Drosophila melanogaster: one gene and its partner. The protein of the gene in region 1 interacts with the protein of each later gene in a biochemical or structural test. Each region holds a gene or a part of one and is shown in the gene's direction. Other genes may lie near its edges.

Region 1 (8,411 bases):
CGTTGAAGGGCTTGGTGTTGCTCGGAATGAACCCTAAAAGCGTGCGCAACTCATCTTCGTTTAGCAGCGGCAGAATGCTGCTCGAATGCCGCCGCCAAATGAGACAAGCCGTGGGCATATCTGTGTTGAATAGCGACTTGACCATCCTGACCAAGTTGTTATCGTAAATAAACTTCTGCCAATCCGTGTTGCATTCGTAGGGATCTATTATGGCCAGAGTTTTAAGTCGGTGCAGTTGCTCGTCGATTTCCAACATATCCTCCTCGTCGTCCTCAAAAGTCAACCGCTTCTTGACCTCGTGAAGATACCGCTCAAGGATGTGCCTCGAGTTCAAGTTGATCATGCGATGGCTCTTTATGAATGCCTTACTTTCCACCTGAGACAGCAGTTGCAGCAAGTCTTGGAATTTAGTGTCCACGTTTTGTGAATTCGAGTTGCAAAGCTCGACCAAAATGCGTTTCGCTTTGGCTTCATAGATGGGCTGGAGGCACAGCTCAAACTGCTTGCCAAATTCCTGTTGCAAATGTTAATGGATAATGAATGACTAAGAGATCAATTATACTCAATACCTCAGCCTCCTCCAGTCGCCCCTTGCAAATCAGCTTCTTAAAACGATCACTGGGGTCGGTCTCGGAAACGAGCATCATCTCCACCACGGAGGGTATGCTGCTCTGGTTGACTTCCTTGGCAGCCAGATAATACAGATTGACCGCACACTTAGGCTGACGCACAAGCCATGCGTGATCAGGAACTTCTACCTCGTTCTTCACATTGAGCGCTGCAATGACACAAGGTTTTTAGCCTTACTGTATGTTTATGTTTTATGTTTGCTGGACTCATACTTGGGTACTCCACTATCTTAATGAAGCGTCCCTCCGCCGTTGATTTCGTCAGCACCAGAAGCTCAATGTTATCTTCGCTGCACTCCATAACCAGCAGATCCTCGATGAGCAGATTTTTTTGTTGGGTAGTTTGACACATGTACACTGTGCGAGTGTATGGACAAATCTCCACCAAGTGGCCGGAATCGGTGAGTGCGATACTGCAAAACCCAGATACACGTTAGAGGGATTCTAGCACCACAATAAGCAAACCCACTCACATATAGTGTTCCAAGTTGAAGATCTGCTTTAGGCTGCCGTACTGAGCGGGCAAATTTATTCGTGTCACGTCATTGGCTGCATTCCTAAAGTTCATAGTGCTTTGATCTCCAGTGATAACTAGACCGGGTTGCGCCTCCAGATCATCCTGATTGTTCTCGGCACTGATGTTGCCGGTCAGCAGCCGCTTGAGCAGCACTGCACAGTCCACGCTGCACGAGGATCTGCCCTTGGAAAGACGTTGAATGGTGACGTCCTCGAGCAGGGCCTTTTCGCAAGCTATAGTTTCGTTTTCATTCAGGCTCATATTGCCTAACGTTTCCAAGCAGGTCTCATCAATGTCGCTTAAGCTACACAGCGTTTGAATCGTTTAATGAAATAATGTCAAGATCCAGTTTTATCACGCATATGCCAGAGCCCATCTCTGTGAATGGCTTACCTATAGATGCTTCCATTCTTACAGGTGAAGTAAAACCGCTGATCCAGTTGATGGATGCTCCGGAAGGTCCCGCCAGTTAGGCTCACGTCCTCCAGATTGACGGCCACGCTGAACAGGAGCAGGCCCTTGATGAACACTCCGTGAACTTCGCCATCGCTGAGGCCGCATACAATCAGGTTGCCGCTTGAAGAAATGGCAATGGCCTCAATGGCTGCCCCGAATGCCAGAAAGCTGCACTTGGCCACCAGTTCGTCCTCCAGGAGCAAAAGGCTCTTGTCGATGCCAATGACCATCTTGCCGCACTGCACGGAGGCCATGACATCTGGATATTTGTTTACCTGACAATGAAAGAAGGCGAGCGTAGAAACCCAACTGCAGATTCTGCACAATAAGGACTCACTTCCTCTTCACTGCTTATTTGGAAGATGCCTCGCGACGAAAATATGTTGGAGATGGTTTCGTCCTCCAGGGAGGACGCCTCGAAGTTGCTCCACATTGCTGTTCAATCCGCTCTAGCCTAATGTGCAAAACCTGCCAATTTTAAACTCTTTATTTAAACACCGCCAATAAACAAGCGTCGCCTGAGAGTTTGCCGATAACATTACCCGCATATCGATAGACGATTGGCGGCATGAAGACACACTACGTATTGACCTTGGGGCTAATACGTTTACGCAATTTATATTTATTACTTAAATGACGTATGTCCAAATCGTAATTTCTCCTTTAAACCTATTACTTTTTAAATGTTAACGTAGTTGCAAACTACTTCGTGCTGGCTTGCTTTGGCCACACTGAGCCGCCGACGGAATTCCGGCATTTCTCTTGACGTGCGCAAACGGTCACACTGGCGGACTTGCAATGAAAATTATTTATATTTCGCTTCTTCGCACGCAAAAATTGGTCAAAATAAACAAAGGTTAATGTGCTGCTGCTATATAACGGTTCAGTGGTCAGTCCGCCGGACCGCCGAATCCGCGTAACGGTAATCCGTGCGTGTGCCGCTCCTATAAACGGCGCTAATTAAAAGTGGATGCTGCAGTGGCCATCAAATCAACAAAAAGCCAACCGAAAACGCAGGCTTCACAAATCGCGTAAACCCTAACACAATTTCCTTGGGAAATAACCGCCGGTTGTTTTGTTTTCCGATTAAAGACAAACGCAAAAAGAACCCGTAAATAAACAACAGTTAAGCGCTGCACTGCAATTAAAACGGAACGGGAAGCGCAGCGGAGGACATAAAATCGCTGGCAAGAAGAAGAGCGCTGCCAGAAAGCGCCCTTTGAAGGGTTTATGAAGGGGAATTAGTGGCAAACCGCAGTGCAGAGTGCTAAAAAAACGAACTCCTGACCTGAAGTGATCAAGGATCAGTAAGAAACTGAGAAGCGGCAGGTGCTTGGCGCTTTGAAACGAGACAACACGACGCTGGGTTTCCAGGGTAGAGTTGCCAACCCGAAAAATAAGCGGGGTTGCCGTTCGTTGCGCCGAAAGTGTTTACCTGCGTTTTGGGAGTCAGTTGCTTTAAAAACGCGATTTTCATAAGGGTCCTGGCCAGGAGATGTCTTGGTGAGTAGTTGAGGAGGACTGACCCACAGGATGCCAGATACTCATTTGGCACCCTTCACACTCCCAGGAACTCAAACTCCAGGCGGTCGCAGGCCGGATAACCGGCAGAAAGCCCAAGCCCACCAAGCATAACCCATTGTAGTTGGTCACCGAAGGATCCAGTGGATTTGTGCCCACCTCCCTAGGGACATCAGAACCAAACCCACTCCTTTACCAGCGTCGAGATCTCCTGCGCGGGATTGGCGACGCCGCTACAACCGAATTTCTTGCCCCACGCCGTTGAAGAAAAGCTGCCACCATTCGGAAGAAGAACACCTCGAATATGACCCACAATCTTGGTATGGCGCCATATCGATTGCCGGGTCCAGCGGGCGGACTCTGTCCGCCCGATTTTAAGCCGCCGCCTCCCACGGACATCATCTCGGCGCCGAGCAATCCGAAGAAGCGGCGAAAAACCTCAAGTGCCGCCAACTCCGCTGCAGCGGTGGCTGCGGCGGCGGCTGCAGCAGCTGCTGCGAATTCCATGCAGCAGCAGCAGGCGCCACCCACACCGCAGGATTTGCTGCCCCCTCCGCCAATGGGAGGCTTCGGAGACACCATTATTGCCTCGAATCCATTCGACGACAGTCCCCAGGTGTCGGCGATGTCCAGCTCAGCGGCCGCGGCGATGGCGGCCATGAATCAGATGGGCGGCGGACCAGGAGGTGGTCACTTTGGCGGCGGTGGACCGGGTGGGCACCCGCACTGGGAAGACCGCATGGGCATGGGCGGTGGACCTCCTCCCCCGCCTCACATGCATCCCCATATGCACCCGCATCATCCAGGCGGACCTATGGGTCACCCACATGGCCCACATCCGCACATGGGTGGTCCACCTCCAATGCGAGGAATGAGCCCCATGCACCCCCATCAAATGGGACCGGGACCAGGCGTCGGACTACCGCCGCATATGAATCACGGAAGGCCAGGGGGACCTGGTGGTCCTGGAGGACCCGTCCCAATGGGTAGTCCCATGGGTGGAATAGCTGGCATGGGCGGCATGAGCCCAATGGGCGGAATGGGAGGCCCCAGCATATCACCCCATCACATGGGCATGGGTGGTCTGTCGCCCATGGGAGGCGGTCCCAACGGACCCAATCCGCGAGCCATGCAGGGTTCACCGATGGGCGGTCCGGGGCAGAACTCGCCAATGAACTCACTGCCTATGGGTTCGCCAATGGGCAATCCAATTGGCAGCCCGTTGGGCCCTCCCTCGGGACCGGGCCCTGGGAATCCCGGCAATACCGGCGGACCACAGCAGCAACAACAACAACCTCCGCAGCCACCGATGAACAACGGGCAGATGGGTCCTCCTCCTCTGCACAGTCCGCTCGGAAACGGACCAACGGGTCATGGCAGTCACATGCCTGGAGGACCAATCCCAGGACCAGGTCCTGGGCCTGGCGGCCTAGTAGGTCCCGGTGGCATCTCCCCCGCGCACGGCAATAACCCGGGTGGTTCTGGGAACAACATGCTCGGCGGGAATCCCGGCGGCGGCAACAGCAACAACAACGGAAGCAATACAAGTAACGCCAGCAACAACAATCAAAATCCTCACCTCTCGCCAGCAGCCGGACGCCTGGGAGTGCCGACGTCGATGCAGTCGAATGGACCTTCGGTATCATCGGTAGCCTCCTCATCGGTTCCCTCGCCCGCCACGCCCACGCTCACGCCCACATCGACGGCCACGTCCATGTCCACGTCAGTGCCTACATCCTCGCCAGCGCCGCCCGCCATGTCACCGCATCACTCGCTAAACAGCGCCGGCCCGAGTCCGGGCATGCCCAACTCGGGACCCAGCCCGCTGCAGTCACCAGCCGGACCCAATGGCCCCAATAACAACAACAGCAATAACAACAACGGACCCATGATGGGCCAGATGATCCCGAACGCAGTTCCTATGCAGCACCAGCAGCACATGGGCGGCGGCCCACCTGGCCACGGGCCCGGACCAATGCCCGGAATGGGCATGAACCAAATGCTGCCACCGCAGCAACCCTCCCATCTTGGTCCCCCGCATCCGAATATGATGAACCACCCGCATCATCCGCACCATCATCCTGGCGGACCACCGCCGCACATGATGGGTGGACCCGGAATGCACGGCGGTCCTGCTGGAATGCCTCCTCATATGGGCGGAGGACCTAATCCGCACATGATGGGCGGTCCGCACGGGAACGCGGGTCCGCACATGGGCCACGGCCACATGGGTGGAGTACCAGGTCCAGGACCCGGACCCGGCGGCATGAACGGACCCCCGCATCCGCACATGTCCCCGCACCACGGACATCCGCATCACCACCACAATCCGATGGGCGGCCCAGGTCCAAATATGTTCGGCGGTGGTGGAGGAGGTCCCATGGGTCCCGGTGGACCGATGGGCAACATGGGGCCCATGGGAGGTGGCCCGATGGGCGGCCCTATGGGCGTAGGTCCCAAGCCGATGACAATGGGCGGCGGGAAGATGTACCCGCCGGGACAGCCAATGGTCTTTAATCCGCAGAACCCGAATGCGCCGCCCATATATCCTTGTGGCATGTGCCACAAGGAGGTGAACGACAACGACGAAGCCGTGTTCTGTGAATCCGGTTGTAACTTTTTCTTTCACAGGTAGGTCGACCAGTTTACAATAGATTAAAAAGGTCAAATAGAAAATATTATATAAATATCTAGGAACAATATTTAGTCCATATCATCATATTTTAAACTGCTTATATCCTGATAATTATCTTTTCGGAACAAAATGTTTAGGAAAGTTTATTGGAATCTCATGAGCAATTAGTCTTATCACTTCTAGTTCAAAGTTAACAGGGGATTACCCTTCAATTAATACATAAAATCAGTCAGGTGTTTTCGTTTATTCATGTTCGTCGTCGACTAACTCCACTATCATTTTTGCAGAACCTGTGTTGGCCTGACAGAGGCGGCCTTCCAAATGCTCAACAAGGAGGTGTTTGCCGAGTGGTGCTGCGACAAGTGCGTGTCTTCCAAGCATATTCCCATGGTCAAGTTCAAGTGTTGAAGCGGATCGGATTTGAAATCAGCAAAACACATCGATCAACCACCAGCGAAAGCGAGAGCAAAGCAAAAGCAACAGCACCAGCTACCCAACCACTCACTGTATAAAATATCCAAGCATTAACTCTATCTTAATTGTAAGACTTAAGCTGCTCAATAGTCAAGACCGCGACCGATCCAGAGACCCACCAGTCCCCATCCCGGCAGCTAAGCCCCGTAGCCAGAATGCGAACCACTAAAGTGCCGGAGCAGTGTTGTGAATTTGAGCTCCGGGCTTCCTGGCCAACTCGCGGCGTGCTCCTGAAACAAATAAGCAAGGCAAACCTTAACGAAAAGTGTAAACGAAATATGTTAATTGTAATATAATTGTAATTTGTGTGTGAGCGTCTGCATGTGAAGCGATCGAAGAGGACAACGTCGCAACAAGAAGACGGAATGAAAGCTGAGAAGCACTCTAGTTTGTATTATAAAAGAAAATGGATAAATCTGAAGAGCAGGCCAGGCGGGATGATGGTGCACATCTCCAATCGAATACCACTCGCCTGGCGAGAAATCCGCATGAAACACAACAGACAACCAACCACTCGTAACTATATAAACATATATCTAATGACATATTCAACACATTTGGAGATGAGTATAGGAGTTGTAACGAAATGAAATTATCATTGTGAAATTGCTGCGAACTGCATGAGTGTGTTATTTGTTATTACGAATCTATATTATTTTTATACTTGTGTGCGTTTACATTTTAAATATTTAATACGGAAGAGCGTTTCGAACGATTGATGGAACTGCATCGTCGATACATTTTACACAAAAATATTCAGCATAGTCGGAATCGGAGAATGTATAATAAGGAATCGATTGCGAACAAAAGCACAAGAAATTATGAATTCATGTGAGAAAGGTTAATTTGTAATTTAAGACGAATGTGGAGGACGCAGCGAACATAAACGATTCAAACGAGAAAAGAAATTTGTAAAAATAGGAAAACAAGAAGTACTCTAGGCTACTGCAACTATAAGTTATTTATAATTAAATAAAATACCATATAAAATAAAGTAAGTTCTAGTTATGAAGCAATTTCTCTTTGGAGGTGCGGTTTCCACGAGCTTGCAATCATTAAAATCATTTCAATGTCCTACTTTAAAAGCACCTGCCAAATAAACGCCTTCAGGTCGGGTTGCATTGCATATACATGTATTTTTAATATTTTGTTTCCATACTTAAGCTAAATGCACAGGCTAAATGGGGATAATAAACATATGCGATGCACACCGAAGGCTGCATCGCCACACAAACTTTTCGGAAATGGCCAGTAGCAATACTCAATGTTGCACATGCCGGATTGTGGACAGGGCTCTAAGATTATTACAGAGACAGTCGCTTAAAGGTACAAATTATATTTTGATTAGGCGTAACTTTCTGTTTCGTAGTTTCGTAGGGAGTTCAGATTACGTTCACAGCACGCAGGAACCAAAGGAGGTTCCTGCATGGCTCGCTGTCTTATCCAATGGCCGCCGTTATCAGCTCCGCCACGTCCTGGTCCGTGCTGCGCACCGTCAGATTGAGCGTGACGCCTTCTGAAAGCGCCAGCTTGGCCCGCACAAGAATCTCGGCGCCGCCTCTGAAGGTTCCTGTAAAGGGGGAAAAACTGTACTACTGATCTCAGAACTAAAAGCGAAGGATGCCTACCTGAACAGAGCAACGTATGCAGGTGCGTACCCTCGGGCACATTCTCAGAGAGGTTTGCAGCGCCCAAGCCCAGGATCTTGACTATAGTGTTGACGGCATCCTGCAAGGTGGTCACTGCCGACAGCACAAAGGTATCCTCGGCTTGTAGCCATTCTGCAAATATAGAGTATTACTAATCATTGAATAGACCCTATTTATCTTTCTGTGGCACCTTCGCTGTCAGCCGCATCCCAGGACACTTGGAAATTGTTCTTTCTGGTTTTCTGTATCTGATCGGCAACCGTCAGCTCCAAATCCTCTAGCATGTACTCGTCGTCATAGCCCTCCTCTGACTCCGGCTCGCCGGTGTTGGGGTCGCAGTCCTTGACCACAAATCGTAAAGTGGCACCAAAGGTGGCTGAAATGAGGAAATAGTTCGTTTTGAAAAAAGTTGTATGATTTTAATACAAAATTTATGTTATTTATAAACTTACCTATGGAATTGGCGGCGTCGGGCGGGAATTCTACGATGACAAAAGTGGTTTGCAGATCGTTGTAGGGTAGCTTGGGAC
Region 2 (4,048 bases), on another chromosome or scaffold:
TATTGCGGGTAAATAAGTTTTATTTGTAAATTCATATTCGATGATTGGTAGTTGAAAAATGCATTTCTTTGGTATAACACATTGTGGCCTTGAAAAGGGCCGTTTTGGATTATTGTCCGCATTCGCAGGAGAAAATTATTTAGAGCTGGTGTACTTGGTGACAGCCTTGGTTCCCTCACTGACAGCATGCTTGGCCAACTCTCCAGGCAAAAGCAGGCGAACAGCCGTTTGGATCTCCCGACTGGTGATGGTCGAGCGCTTGTTGTAGTGAGCTAGACGAGACGCTTCGGCAGCAATTCGCTCGAAAATATCATTTACAAAGCTGTTCATTATGCTCATCGCCTTCGACGAAATTCCGGTGTCAGGATGGACCTGCTTGAGAACCTTGTAAATGTAGATGGCATAGCTCTCCTTCCTTTTGCGCTTCTTTTTCTTGTCGGTCTTGGTGATGTTCTTCTGAGCCTTGCCAGCCTTCTTGGCTGCCTTTCCACTAGTTTTCGGAGGCATTGTTCACGTTACTTATATTTTCACAAACACAATTCACTTATCGTAATGTGGGCCCGAACGCGTTCACGTTTATACTTTTTTTCGAGCAGTCAATTCAGGTCTAAGTCACCCACCCCTAACTGAATGCGCAGGCAAACGGAAAAGTATAAATATTTCGCTGTCTGGGTTAGGCGAGCATTCGTGTTCCGTGCGTAAAGTGAACTAAGTGAAATAAACGCAAAGCAAAATGTCTGGACGTGGAAAAGGTGGCAAAGTGAAGGGAAAGGCAAAGTCCCGCTCAAACCGTGCCGGTCTTCAATTCCCTGTGGGCCGTATTCACCGTTTGCTCCGGAAGGGAAACTACGCAGAGCGTGTTGGTGCAGGCGCTCCAGTTTACCTAGCTGCCGTAATGGAATATCTGGCCGCTGAGGTTCTCGAGTTGGCTGGCAATGCTGCTCGTGACAACAAGAAGACTAGAATTATTCCGCGTCATCTGCAACTGGCCATCCGCAACGACGAGGAGTTAAACAAGCTGCTCTCCGGCGTCACAATTGCACAAGGTGGCGTGTTGCCTAATATACAGGCTGTTCTGTTGCCCAAGAAGACCGAGAAGAAGGCCTAAACGTTTCAAAGGCTAAGCTAAAAACCTACATGTACATAAAATCGTCAATCAAACCGTCCTTTTCAGGACGACCAAATTATTACCAAAGAATTGAAAAATTTTTTAGCTTGGCAATTTGTTGTAATTAGTAAATCATAAAGAATTATTAACGTAAAGATGGTAATGTAGTAAGGGTTTTCTACTATATGCGGTATAAACTATAATTTGCTTCTTTAAACAATCGCACACCACGATGTGATGCTGTACATGCGGTGTCTGAAACCATTTGTACAGTCTGTACAAATCCATGTTAGAAATACACATTCTATTTAAAAGAGTACGAACGACAGACATTTATTTTTAGTTTAACATATTTTTTGGGAGTCCCGACCAATAAAATTAAATACTTTTTGAAAATCTTCCTCCTTTTAAAAACTGAATGGTGGTCCTGAAAAGGACCGATTGCTTAATAGGGGTACACAGGATGTACACTTTTTAACCGCCAAATCCGTAGAGGGTGCGGCCTTGCCTCTTCAGAGCGTACACAACATCCATGGCTGTAACTGTCTTCCTCTTGGCGTGTTCCGTGTAGGTCACGGCATCACGAATTACGTTCTCCAAGAAAACCTTCAGAACGCCACGCGTTTCCTCGTATATGAGTCCAGATATGCGCTTCACACCGCCTCGACGGGCCAAACGGCGGATAGCAGGCTTCGTGATACCTTGGATGTTATCACGCAGCACTTTGCGATGACGCTTGGCGCCACCCTTTCCCAAGCCTTTGCCTCCTTTACCACGACCAGTCATTTTTCACTGTTCTATACTATTATACACGCACAGCACGAAAGTCACTAAAGAACTAATTTCAACGTTTCTGTGTGCCCCTATTTATAGGTAAAACGACAAAAACCCGAGAGAGTACGAACGATATGTTCGTTCGCTTTTCGCTCGTCAAATGAAATGGCCTCCGTTTTTCTCTCTCTCTCTCTCTCTCTCTCTTTCACCGTCCACGATTGCTATATAAGTAGGTAGCAAATGCTCTGATCGTTTATTGTGTTTTCAAACGTGAAGTAGTGAACGTGAACTTTAGTGAAACCCAAATCGGAGATGGCTCGTACCAAGCAAACTGCTCGCAAATCGACTGGTGGAAAGGCGCCACGCAAACAACTGGCTACTAAGGCCGCTCGCAAGAGTGCTCCAGCCACCGGAGGTGTGAAGAAGCCCCACCGCTATCGCCCTGGAACCGTGGCCTTGCGTGAAATTCGTCGCTACCAAAAGAGCACCGAGCTTCTAATCCGCAAGCTGCCTTTCCAGCGTCTGGTGCGTGAAATCGCTCAGGACTTTAAGACGGACTTGCGATTCCAGAGCTCGGCGGTTATGGCTCTGCAGGAAGCTAGCGAAGCCTACCTGGTTGGTCTCTTCGAAGATACCAACTTGTGTGCCATTCATGCCAAGCGTGTCACCATAATGCCCAAAGACATCCAGTTAGCGCGACGCATTCGCGGCGAGCGTGCTTAAGCTGACACGGCATTAACTTGCAGATAAAGCGCTAGCGTACTCTATAATCGGTCCTTTTCAGGACCACAAACCAGATTCAATGAGATAAAATTTTCTGTTGCCGACTATTTATAACTTAAAAAAAATAAGAACAAAATTCATATTCTATTATTTATGGCGCAAACGGTACTGGGTCTTAAATCATATGTAAAAATACTAATTCTGCCAGAGAAGGAATAAAAATAATCTTATTTTAATTGTCAGCTCAACATTTATTAAATTAAAGAAGAGGTTAATAAATATAAAATATATATAAAAATATATATTTTTATTTGTTCTTTGTGCGAACATCCTTTAAAGCAGTGAAAGTGTCGTGCGGGGCAAGGGACTCTGAACCTTAAACATCTAAAAAAAAATCTGAATTCTGTGTAAGACAGTTTGAAATTAATGAAATTACATTGATGACGGCAATATTTATAAAATAACAGAAAATAATAAAATAAAACTAGCTATTTTATATTTTTTCCATGTGTTAACTGAAGAAAGTGTTATTATTGAAGAGGTCGTACGGGACAATTGACACTGTCCCTTCAAACGCCTGTAAAAAATAAAACCTATGTAAAATTCAGCACGGAAATTGGCTAATTTTGTTGCGGAATGTAATATATATTACATAATAAAGGATAATACAAAAATTGTTTCTTTTTATTTTTTATTTGATTTATTTATTTGACTACATAGACGGTAATGCATATGTGGCGAGGAAATCGATTGATTTCAGAACAAATTATTTTAAAATATGCATGAAAACACATTAATAACAAGCAAACACATTAATAATTTAAGAAAATATTATTTATTATATTAATATTATGTTATTTAAGAAAGTATCTGTATTTTTAACGATCGAAAATTATTTCTGAATGCTGCTTTAAAGCAAATTTTTCTGTAGTTCAATGTGAACTTAAATCAAGTAATAAAGTATCTTAATTAATAATAGACGCTTCTTTCAGAAGCCCTTCTAGGGGATGAACGTTTCAATTTTAATAAACATAACGAATTAGTGAAATATTTGCAATGATTCTTATTTTATTAGATGTTTTTTTATAAATTGGTCCAGTTAAAAATTTGAATATAAAAATTCAATCAACATTTGAAAGTCTCAAAACCCATATTACATCCTTTTAAAAATGGAAAGTGACGAAAAAATTATTTAAAAGTGTAGAACTATTAAAACCTTATTTTTATTAATGATTTAAAATACTAAAAAATTAATAAAAGTTTACACTTCAAGCAAACTTTGACATAGTAAATGACTGATGTCAGTAGCATTGTTAAAGTGCTCTCCTCCTCGATTCTCATCAGAGCAAAGGAGGTTGGTAGGCAGCGCGCGAGCCATTTTTAACAGAAAAAAAGTGTTCTCAGTGAAAAAAAGATGTCTGATTCTGCAGTTGCAACGTCCGC

Evidence for each region.
Region 2: the proteins of pygo (region 1) and His3:CG31613 form a complex in vitro, tested with the Drosophila melanogaster proteins (2 studies listed by BioGRID).

What each region holds. Positions count from the first base shown.
Region 1 is NT_033777.3:31,574,647-31,583,057, reverse strand, and holds pygo (pygopus), read left to right. Parts: upstream 1-2,358; 5' UTR 2,359-3,105; intron 3,106-3,172; 5' UTR 3,173-3,427; coding exon 3,428-5,754; intron 5,755-6,045; coding exon 6,046-6,166; 3' UTR 6,167-7,223; downstream 7,224-8,411. Other genes in the region: rod (rough deal), read right to left, coding at 1-514, 570-778, 843-1,042, 1,103-1,450, 1,540-1,877, 1,940-2,035; gammaCOP (coat protein (coatomer) gamma), read right to left, coding at 7,672-7,802, 7,861-8,013, 8,072-8,257, 8,334-8,411. UniProt on the Drosophila melanogaster protein: Involved in signal transduction through the Wnt pathway.
Region 2 is NT_033779.5:21,423,056-21,427,103, forward strand, and holds His3:CG31613 (histone H3), read left to right. Parts: upstream 1-2,137; 5' UTR 2,138-2,194; coding exon 2,195-2,605; 3' UTR 2,606-2,666; downstream 2,667-4,048. Other genes in the region: His2B:CG17949 (histone H2B), read right to left, coding at 136-507; His2A:CG31618 (histone H2A), read left to right, coding at 734-1,108; His4:CG31611 (histone H4), read right to left, coding at 1,583-1,894; His1:CG33804 (histone H1), read left to right, coding at 4,020-4,048.